Linked DNA regions of Drosophila melanogaster. The protein of the gene in region 1 interacts with the protein of each later gene in a pairwise test. Each region holds a gene or a part of one and is shown in the gene's direction. Other genes may lie near its edges. The genes, in order: CG13384 and Pde9.

Region 1 (6,812 bases):
GTGAGAATGTTGAATACAGTGGGTATCGGAAAAAGGTCTCGGAAAGTAACGCGAAATTTACAGATGATGACATATCAGTGCTGTTAAATGGTCAAATCAGTGTTGCGTGCTGTTTTATATCAGAGGCGAATTGAAGTGTACTACCATAATTCTTGCGAGTCTGCTTAAAATGCCTCACAAACGTAGGAACCGAGTACATGCGAACCAAAGGAATTTCACAGCGCGACGCGTTTCTGTGGCCAAACTGTCGTCTGCACCGCCGAATGTGCTCGTCGAATCCTGCAACGGTTCTCATGCGGATAACAGTTCGCCGGACAGTCCGAAAGCCAAAGAAGGTGCAATGACCAACGGGAAAAACCCGGAGATCAAGTTAGCCGTGCCCAAATGCAACACCACCGTGCGCAAGCAGAACGAGGCCCATATCATATCCAACATTAAGCTGGATATGAACCTTAATAAGGATTCTAACTTTATCGCCCCACAGGTTAATTAAGGTTTTCAATTATGTATACTGTTTTATAATAACATATTCTGTAACTACCCCAAAGATCACCAAAAAGATGAACTTCGCTCCGAATCGTGTTGTATTCGGGGTCCTGGTGCCTCTCAATGTCAACGATTCTGTGCTGGTGCCGCACAATAGAAAACCGGATGCCTTAAAGCACACATCGAAAGAATCGGAATCATGCAAGGCCATAAGCGAGCCCCAGCTAGCCGACTATGCGGAGAAAGTAGATCCCATGATCATGGCTGTTAAGGAACCAGTACTCCACTTGGATTGGGAACCAGGACCCTTCGATTTTTTCGGCGCATATAGGAGAACATACAATTAGAGTTACATTTTATTTATAAATATATCCGAGAATATCAGAATGTTTGTAGCTTTGTTAACCGATGAAGTTCATGACCACCAGATGAAGGATCACATGAGCGAAGATGAAGTCGGCGAAACCGCGTTCCGGCGAAATGCCGGCAAACACGCTCTTGTTCTGGGGATTGGCCTGCAGGCGTAGGCACACTGCCAGGACGAAACAGCTGACGGTGCTGATGAAACCAGATAGGAAGGAGTTGAACGGGAAGGTTCCAACCAGGCAGCAGTAAACAAACTGGATGATGCCGGTGAGCAGAATGTAGCCGAGGTAGATGTCCACCAGCTTCAGTTTCTTGGGCGTATTCTGCACGTAGTCGTTGTAGAACTTGGAAATGACGCTCGACAGCTCCACCATTTTGCTATTTTATGTGATATTTGTCCGGATATTTAAGGATAAAGGCGCTTTTTAACAAATTAATCGCAGACACGTCACAAATTGGGAGAGAACTCAAAAGTAGGACCGTTCGTCTAGTTTGAAAATAATACTGATAGCTTTATCGATGAAGGCGCAAGTACAGTGGGCACTCAATACCTTGAAGTTTAATAAAGAATAGGTTTATATATTAAAAAATTTTTGTGTTTTAGTTAAAACTAAAACATAACAAATCTTATAGATTAATGACCGCTATCGATTCTTTTTTAATGTTGCATATGTTTGAGAGGTAATGTTATAATTTAATTTATATAAAAAGAAACACAAATTCTTTTTCTAACCCGTTAATAAAGTTTTCTATCCGATTTTCACTGTACCGCCAAATCAGCGAATTAATCGATAGATACGGAAAGTCATCCTCGATTGTTGTGTCTTGCTTTGCTTCTTCAGTGCTTGTTTTGGGGTGAGAGGCAATTGTTATTGCGAGTTGAGTTCGAAGAAATTAGTAACGTATGTATTTAAAACACCACAAAAGGGTATGATGTGCGTTGCAACGTTACAATAAACATTTGCTATCCAATGTGCAACAGTGATGCAGCGTGTTATCAAACTTCTTTTATATGAACACAACATGATTCATTGCTGATGTTTTCTCTGTTCGATTCGCAGACTGGGAGAAGATAATTGCCATAGCCTCCTCCCACCACGCACCCCAAACTCAGCAATAAATGAACTTTATAATTTGATTGGCTCTTCGCATTGATAAACCAGCGTTGTGACCTTCGCAGGAGCACCCATTTCATTGTCAGTGTCAAGCGGGAAAAAATCAATGGAGGACCTGACACCTTTGACCAACCTTCAACAGGTAGAGCAGAGCCAGACACATCTGGTCATCAAATTGCGCATGCTGAATGGGTTTATTTTGATTTCGTATCCGTACATCTGTTAATTATGTTTTTGTTTCAGTTTTAGTTTCAACATTATCATTTTTCCAACTGCCCAAAAGACGCGTTCCTACAACTCAACCATCTCCAGTTGAGATACATCTAATTTCCGATACAGTCAGTGTAAGTGAAAAAGATATAGTTATGTATCTTTGTAATGTCGCACCTTGTTGTGCAAGTCTGTGATGCAAGATAAAACGAAAATAAGTTCGTAATGCTTTGTTTGATTTCTTTATGGCTCTCAAATAAAGATTTCTTGACATAAGTCGGCTGCTTGTCTGGATTTAGGTAGACTTTACGATTTAAGCACTATTAATTCCTCGCTAAATAAATAGCACACATTCTATGACCATGTAGCACTTATATGTAGGTCTTCTAAAAGCAAGCACACTGGAATTATTAAATCTATTTTTTAAAGCTAGTGTTAAAGTAAGAAAAGCATGATTACTTGTCAAAATGGCAATATAACCAGAATACTGCATGCATGATACATAAATATGCAAATGATATCAACGCTAGAATGATTCGAACCTATGTATCATTTATGTATTATGTATATCTCTCATTATAATTTGTATTTGTTAAGTTAACACTTTGATTTCACGTTTATTTGCGAAAACTTTCTTCTCGCCTTATATGTTCATTCAAGAAATTTATCAGTAGTATTAAATATCACAATAATGCAACTTGAGTAATTCCGTTTGCTGACTCAAGTCAATAATCTGAATATAATGGGTGGATATTTGATTCACCGTCTGGATACACATTATATAATTGTGATTTATGGTATGCTCGCTGGCTTCGCAGGAGATATGCGGGTCTTATCTCTACGTATGGATTGTTTTTCGCGACTTGTTGGTGTTTTCGACTTTAAAGCTATACTCTAGTGGGAGACGAACTCGTCAATATGATATCGACTTCCGAAGCACGCGTAATCAGACCCATATGCAAAGTAATGAAATGATCACATTAATCGTACTTTGAGTCAAGTCCAAGGCTAACTTGGACTATCAGCATGGTCGAAATTTTCCACTCTACTCCGCCCGGCACGCGATCACTGTCCACTATGCAACGCACTATCTGCACCTCCTATTGTTATAAGCGTGGAAAACTGAGTCAGCGGAAAATTTCCGAGGCGAAAAGCGGGCGTCTCAAGTTGCACTCTTAGTTTGTTTCGTGCAGCCGGAGAGGGCGCATCATAAAATCCAACGCTCTTAGTTACTTACCTACCCCTGTTTCCAGATTCCCGAGGGAGCGCCGCGCAAGAAAAAGATGACGGAACGACAGCCGTTGCTCCTCCAGAGCGATGCCTCTGACTACGAGGGCAGTCGAGGATCGGCAGCACGACCCGTGCGCAGCTCTCCGCCGGACAACACTCTCGTCAACGTGCACAGCGAGGACAGCTTAGCAGGTGAGTTTGTGACCAGGTCAAAATATGTTATTACAAAGTAAATTGAGGTATGACGAGAAACTTATAATTTTTTCGCTTTTTTCTGTGAGTGCACGCAGCAGCCTCTGGATCGGGAGATGATGAAATTGGATCGACGGATAAGTCCTATAACCCCACCCATCATCGCGACCTGGAGCATCCGACGTCCAACTTCGATACCCTGGTTCATCTGCTGAAGGGCAACATTGGTACGGGCATTCTGGCAATGCCGGATGCCTTTAAGAACGCCGGACTTTATGTGGGACTCTTTGGCACAATGATCATGGGAGCCATCTGCACTCACTGCATGCACATGCTGGTCAACTGCTCCCACGAGCTGTGCCGGAGATTCCAGCAGCCATCGTTAGATTTCTCGGAGGTGGCATACTGCAGTTTTGAGTCGGGACCTTTGGGACTAAGACGATACTCCATGTTGGCTCGACGAATTGTTACCACGTTCTTGTTTATCACGCAAATCGGTTTCTGCTGCGTCTACTTCCTCTTTGTGGCGTTGAATATCAAGGACGTTATGGATCACTACTACAAGATGCCTGTGCAGATTTACCTGCTTATAATGCTTGGACCCATGATCCTGTTGAATCTGGTGCGGAATCTGAAGTATTTGACACCCGTTTCGCTGGTTGCCGCCCTGCTCACAGTTGCCGGACTGGCCATTACATTCTCGTACATGCTGGTGGATCTGCCGGATGTGCACACGGTCAAGCCGGTGGCCACTTGGGCGACGTTGCCTCTATATTTTGGAACCGCCATCTACGCGTTCGAGGGAATTGGTGTTGTCCTGCCCTTGGAGAACAATATGCGCACACCCGAGGACTTTGGCGGCACCACAGGTGTCCTCAACACGGGCATGGTGATCGTGGCCTGCTTGTACACAGCTGTCGGGTTCTTCGGCTACCTGAAGTACGGCGAACACGTGGAGGGCAGCATTACCCTAAATCTGCCGCAGGGCGACACGTAAGTCCTTAAACTTTCCATTGCTAATCGGTTTTAGTTGTAAGACAGAGGGATTTAATATTTCTCATGCTGATATACATAATCTACATGCTCTTGCTATTTGAAAAGCGCTATTCGAAATATTGATAGTTCAGATAGTTAAGATCGTTATTAACTTTACTGTCTAAATAATTTTAAATTACATGATAATAAAGCTAGCAAAAGGTGTTATAACAATTTTTAATGATATTCCCAGACTGCAATACTAATATTTTAATTGTCTTCCTCTTTACATATTTAGACTTTCCCAGTTGGTGCGGATTTCAATGGCGGTGGCCATCTTCCTCTCGTATACGCTTCAGTTTTATGTGCCTGTGAACATCGTGGAGCCCTTTGTGCGAAGTCATTTCGATACAACGAGGGCCAAGGATTTGTCAGCAACTGTGCTGCGAGTTGTTCTGGTCACTTTTACCTGTACGCATAGATAGTCAATATTTAAAATGTTCCAATTATCATCGTATTTTATTTCACAGTCCTGCTGGCCACCTGCATTCCCAATCTAGGCTCCATTATCTCGCTGGTAGGAGCCGTCAGCAGCTCAGCTTTGGCCCTAATTGCACCACCCATAATTGAAGTTATTACATTTTACAACGTTGGCTATGGACGCTTCAATTGGATGCTATGGAAGGACGTTTTAATCCTGATCTTTGGACTCTGTGGCTTTGTGTTTGGCACCTGGGCCAGCTTAGCTCAAATCCTGAACGACAGAACCCACTGAGTTTAATCGAAATAAGCGAATCGAAAACAGAACCTGGCTAGTTCTGCCTACAAATGTGTGCGAATTTATGACGAAGGCTTTATGTAGTTACACTCAGACTACGAATATGTTTACCATTAGTTGTTTACCATTTCCCAACTGGTATCGGTCCAGTCCAGTGGCGGTGCTTTAGTGTGATTAATTTATATTTATGGCAAATTAGTTGCATTTTTTTTTGTTGTTATCAGCCAGCTGCAATCGTACCAGACAATAACTAGCATTTTAAGTAGAAAGTTTTTCAACATTTGTTCAGTTTGTCAGTTGGAGATTATTTCTGTGTTAACTCGATGACCGCACAATGCCAAACGTGATTTTACGTAGTATTCTTAACTAAATTATTATTTAGCTTTTACTATGTAGTCTAGGTCGGGGCAGATCATTCCAAAGCAACTGCTAAGAATTTCCCAAAAACCGAAATTAGCTAATGTTATCTGCATACTTTTATCGTTCGATTATTTGTAATTATACAACTATAAATACATATATATGTATACCCCTAGCCGTACTGGTCCCGAAATGGGACCTTCGATAAAGTTTTGTAAATACATCAATTCGGTGTATCAACAAATGTTCTTTAATAGTTCAATCGGTAACAAAGACAATAATTAATATAATGTTTATAAAAATCAGTACAATTGATGTTATTTAGTATTCCTACCACAGGGCTTGAATGGTCACTGGGAATGGGATTCCATTGGAATTAGCCACTCTCAATGGACTCGATGAGAGCAGAATCAGTCCTTGAGCTCGTGGACCGTTCCTAATCTGCTTGGTCAGGCGAGCGGGTGCCTGCTGGACAGGCTGAACTTCCTCTGCATCCGGATCGGGTGTAAAGTCTTGCGGCTCCTCATCGCTGGGTAGCTGCTCAACTGCATCGGTAGGCGGTGGGCCGTAGGTCAGATCCGGTGGTCCATATGTCTGATCCGGAACTCCTTCCTCGAATGGCACCTCCGGCTTCAGTTCGTCGGCGGATGGATAGGGTGCTGCCTGCTGTTTCTGAAGTTGCTTTGCCAGCCGTGCTGGCTGAGCTGAAACCGCTCCAAGTGCCAGGACCAGAACCAGCAAGGAACAGGATGACTTCACGTAGCTGCGCATATTGGCTTTGACGCAAGAGATACACGAACTTATGAGGGAACCGTTGTTGATTGATTGATAACTTTGCTGTTCATTACCTGTCTTTTTATATGTTTTTCGGGTACTACGTGGATGGATTAATCAATTTTTGGTGGTAAAACGTGGTCGTTTGGTTAATGACTGGGTCATCCAGTGGCCCTTGTGGTCATTTGGAGTTGTCGTCAATGTCACGTTGCAGGTGCCCAAAACGGGAAATCAATCAGCCCATTAATTTCAGTGTCAATGTTAGCCAGAATAATTTTTTTTATGAGTTATGGAAAATTATAATAAATACACATTGCATAAATATG
Region 2 (4,979 bases), on another chromosome or scaffold:
CGCCCGAGGAGATATACTCCATTCATCGCAAGCTATCGGGCATTTTCCTGCTGTGCGCGCGTCTGAATGTGCGCATGAATTGCGTGCCCTTCTACAAGGACATCGTTCTGGGGAAGTTCAAGGACTAGTGAGCACAGCTCACCCCTCTTCCCTTGACCATTTTCTTTTTTTTTTTTTTTGTCCAATCCAATCCCAGTTGTAAACCATAAGTGCGCTTAATTTGTAAATGCGATTCGCTGCAAGATTACATATGTTAATTTCCCAACTAACGTGTTTATCCTTAACTGACTGGGTCAGGGTTAGTTGTCAATTGAATTGGAAACAAGTAGGTTTTGAGCAATCCCCAACAGCTAACACACACACACACACATTTTAGTTAAAAACCCCAACAATAAAACACTACACAAAAAAAATATATATACATTGTATCTAATGCAAAAAACATGAAGACATTTGTGAAGACCCAAAGCATGAAGAGGAAGAACGAGTTGTTTCACCATGATTGCGTCTCGGACATCGACGGATCCGTATCCGATGGGAGCGAGGAGTTGGAGGAGCAGTCGCCGGAGCAAATCGAGGAGATAGCCTGGCCGCAAATGAAGCGTGAGATTGGCGCCATGAATCGAACGCTGGACGAAATACAGGCCCAGTTGGCCATCGATTTTCACGAGCGCGACGGCGGCAGATCGTGTTGGGAGGAGGAACAGGAGGCGTTGGCCAAGGGCCTGGAACCGGAGGACTCGCGCTGGATGATCATGCACGGTAGCAGGGAGGCGGCCTTGCGAGAACTGCAATGGAATAACCTGCGCATTCGCAGGCAACTGGCGGATCTCGTTCGCTGCTCGGAACTGGGCAGAGCACGCATCTCGGCACTGGATCGTCTGTTCCAACGGCAGACGAAGGAGCTGGTCGGGTGTCGGCAGGACCACGAGCGCGTCCTCTCCTTCCACCTGACCAAGCAACTGGAGGCGGGCAAGTGCCTGCAGCGCTATCGCTACGCGCGTGACTTGTACGCCAGCTGGCGTGAGCTCTTCAAGATGGGTCGCCACCTGAAGGAGGCCTACAAGAAGATACTCGAGCGCACGCAGTCTCGCTTGGAGTATGCAGAGATCAAGCGGCAGGCACTCGACGAGATGACGGTGGCCCACGAGATGTGCCTGGGCTCAACGCGAAGTCTGTTGGCCCGCGTCCGGGATCTGGAGCTCGGCCTGGCACCGCTGGGCTTCTCAAGGCCATCGGTTATGTCCCGCAAAATCGGTAGCCTCGGCACGTCTGGCGCCGGGCATGCCGATAGCAATCGCGCCGAGGAGCATCCCGGCAGGCCCGTCTGGGTGAAGGCCAAGGCCTGGCAGCGTCGTTCCTATCGGACCGTCAAGTTCTCCCGCGGCGAATTGCTCGAGCTGCCGGTGGTTGTGCCGCCCGAGGCGAAGACCTGGTACGGCAAAATGTTGCGCATGCTGCACAATCCGCCCAAAATCTATTAGTGTTTGTTTGCCAATTGTTTAGCTCATTTAAAGTAATAATAAACAAAAAATTCAAAATAAGCAACAGTTTTTTTTTTATTCAAGCGCACTGTTAGCTAACATTGCTGCTTAACAGGCAGTTAGCAGCGAGCTGCACGGTCACACTGATAGCGAAAGCGCATTTCCCGCCGATCGGCTAGCCGGTCACACTGCAAACCGTCGCGTTTCATTTCGCGAAGGCTGCGCGCGCGGATTACGGTTAATTTTCAGTTGGTTTACAAACTTTACAAACGGCGTACGCTTATCGCGATCGCTTTTAATCAACAAACCGAATTAGTTGCCAAAATAACGGGAATGACACAGGAAATGTGCTGCCGGTGCTCAAATGCTAGCTTAATTGAGTGAAAAAGTGCAAGTGATCGAACTGCAACGGTTACAAAAAAAACGGTTGTTTTTCTCTTTATTTTTGTTTTATAAACTAAGAAATCGTTCTATAAATTGCATTTATTTGAATATCTGTAAGCCCGCGTTTATCTCAAATGTACTTGTGCGCGCCACCTGTTTTTTAATTAATATTTTACTACAATCGGCGTGATAAAAAGTGTATGAAATTCGTTATTTTTTTTATTTTTTTGGTTTTTGTTGAGAGTGCAAGATCGTGCAGCTTGTGCGTGTGTGTGCGTTCAGTGTGCTTGTGAGGAAGTTATAGTTTAATGTTGGTTAGCTTCAATTGTCGAGCAACAGAGAAAAAAAGAAATAAATAAATAAAACAGCAGCAGCAACAACAACGATGTGATGCTGATTGATGTCACACACACCACGAAGGAAAAAAAAATAAAAAATAAATAAAGTAAGTAGCAGACAATTGGATTTGCATGGGGGAAGAAGAAGAGCGAAGAGCCGAGTTTATCAATGAAAGTGAACTGTGGGAGTTGCTCGCTTTCAGTGGGTGTGTGTGTGTGTGTGCACAGTGGCGCAGCCAAACGGGGATTTCTGGGGTTAATAACCCCCAGCATACCGGGCACTGTTATCGAACCGAGCATACATCTATCGAAAATATCACTCGCTAAATGTGATTTATCGAAAGTTTACATATCAAATTATCGGGTATTAAAGTTTGCTTTGGTAATCTTTAATCGGTGTGAGAATTAGGAAAATCTAACTTCAAGATCATTTCTAGCGTAACATTACTCTCAGATAAGAACATGAAGGATTTATATATGCACTAAGAATGTGGAATATTGAAAGCAGGCATTATTTTAAATGTGATTTGTTTTATGGTTAGCTTTTAAGTTTGTGCCTCAGTTCTAAATGCAGCAGATTTATCGTGGAAAAACGAACAAATACTGGAAAATATGGAAAAAATGTTAAGATAACGAATTTCTTAGGAGCTGATAGTGCTTACTAATTAAACAAGACACTATATAGATGGTATTACATCCAACTCTCATCCTAGGAAGCAAAAATTTGATAAGAACTTTCCCAGCTCTGTTGATTTAATGTGACAGTTTTCAAAATCTACTAAACTACTTTCAACCAAACTAAACAATAGATAGTTGATCGTGGTATTTGCTTGGAATAATCATTAATTAGCTAGTTTTAGTTACTTCTACTTTTTCCCATTGACATTTATTTAGCATAAATTTCAGTTAGCATTCTTTCATCACCAGGTGTTTACATATTTCTTGAAAAATGTGTTGTTTGTTGTCTGTTTTTTTTTTTTTTTTGGCGCTATCAAAGCACGTTGGAAACGTCTTAGTTATATATGGATTGGATGAATAAAGTGTTCCAAGTTCGCATGTATTGGAATGTGCGTGTGTTGGCTATATGTGTATGTACATACCTATATAAATATATATATTTCTTGGTACATATACATATATATATATATGCTGAGAAATGCCGTTGCCAGCAGCCGCTGCAGCAACAACAGCAATGGGGAACCTTTTGATAATCATATCACGCAGTCCACTGATAATTCGCATTGTATTTGTTTGCTGTTGTTGTTGCTCCTGTTGCTTTATCAGCCCGCTCTCCCTCCCTCTCTTCATCAGCGTCTCTTTCGTCGCCTCTCTTTCGCGATCACTGGACTCTCTTTTCTTTAGGGGGGCACAATAATAAATAAAATACAGAACAGACAGCACAAAAATGTCCAATAATTGTTTAATAAATTTAGACTACAGTAGAACCTCATCCAAAGTTTCCATTGTTTCCAAGCAAACAATAAAAAAAAAAAAATAACAAAGATATATGAATAAATCAAAATCGAAATCCCTATTATATTTCCAATTTTCTGCGATCTCTGCGCATTATTTCGCTGTTATCTCCGATCCCCCGGACTAATGGAAAGTTTCCAGACTGTGTTTACATCGGGCGGGATTATGGAGGGGAAATTATGGGTTTAGACCTCCGGGAAAATTTTTGATCACTAGACAAATAAATTTGGAACCCCTTCGCATTTCGCTCACTTGTTGGTTTTCATACATATGTAGAATATGTATCTTCTTAGTAAGCAAAATCCGCGAGGTTTCGGTTTCTGAGGAAATTTGATGTTATCGTTATTGCTTATGTCTACCGAATTTGAAATATTTTTGGGTAATATGACATCCTATTGATCTAATTGTTTATGTCTACCGCTTATCGCTCTAGTCTCTTAAGCTTTCCACAATTTCATATTATATTTATAGTGTTTATTCACAATAGAAAGAGAAATGATAATCTTCGATAATTTCGATATTGCAAATATTTATCGATTTTAAAAAATACACACCTTTTCATAGGTTTTTCTCGCCAACAAGTGGCTGAAGAAAAGTGGAATGAAAAATTAAGTGCAGACGAAAAAAAAAAACAGGAATGATTCGAAACTATTGTGTAATTTACATTAACGAGCGGATGTCGTTGGCTTCTACTACATAATGAACCAATTACCCAGTTTGTCTCTTGATTCGATTGCTCTGCAGGCACACAGTTACAGATACAGATACAGATTCAGATACTGATGCTGTTGCGAAGATACATCCACATTTGTATCTGCATTTGTGTCGGTGCTGTTCTGTGCGGTTCTGTTTTGTGCTTTTCGCAAAGTGACTAAACGAGATTTTTTTGTGGCCCCACTGTGCTGCTCTTCCAATTCCAATTCCAATTCCATTTCATTCATGTTGAAGACACCCACTTGAATGATTATGAGGCACTGCAGATGCGCACCGCTACAGATACAGATACTGACTGATCCACATTCAGATCGAGATTGAGATTCAGATTGAGATTGAAATTCAGATTCAGTTTCAGATACTTTTACGAACGCATATATATGGCCTTCGTCAAGTGCCGCTTCCGCATTTGCCGGTCACCCACGTGCCGAATGCTTCACATATCTGAAATCTCAGTTCCCAGTTCTTAAGTCTCAAGTCTTTTCCTCCCCAAAAAAAGCGATCGTTCGCCAAGTGGCTGTGTGGAATGCGATGGCAGATAAGATACTCCAAATTTGGGCAGATTCGTTGGGGAAGTAGTCGGCAA

What was found.
Region 2: the proteins of CG13384 (region 1) and Pde9 interact in a two-hybrid assay, tested with the Drosophila melanogaster proteins (one large-scale study listed by BioGRID).

Annotation. Positions count from the first base shown.
Region 1 is NT_033779.5:8,382,787-8,389,598, forward strand, and holds CG13384 (uncharacterized protein), read left to right. Parts: upstream 1-1,668; 5' UTR 1,669-1,754; exon of another isoform or gene 1,755-1,913; 5' UTR 1,914-2,073; coding exon 2,074-2,109; exon of another isoform or gene 2,110-2,311; intron 2,312-3,352; exon of another isoform or gene 3,353-3,430; coding exon 3,431-3,599; intron 3,600-3,688; coding exon of another isoform or gene 3,689-3,700; coding exon 3,701-4,592; intron 4,593-4,872; coding exon 4,873-5,045; intron 5,046-5,104; coding exon 5,105-5,349; 3' UTR 5,350-6,018; downstream 6,019-6,812. Other genes in the region: Rcd4 (reduction in Cnn dots 4), read left to right, coding at 170-484, 549-833; Dad1 (defender against apoptotic cell death 1), read right to left, coding at 888-1,226; CG42819 (uncharacterized protein), read right to left, coding at 6,043-6,483.
Region 2 is NC_004354.4:12,894,052-12,899,030, reverse strand, and holds the start of Pde9 (phosphodiesterase 9), read left to right. Parts: upstream 1-1,703; 5' UTR 1,704-2,313; intron 2,314-4,979. Other genes in the region: Coq8 (coenzyme Q8), read left to right, coding at 1-128; CG32650 (uncharacterized protein), read left to right, coding at 444-1,484. UniProt on the Drosophila melanogaster protein: Specifically hydrolyzes the second messenger cGMP, which is a key regulator of many important physiological processes.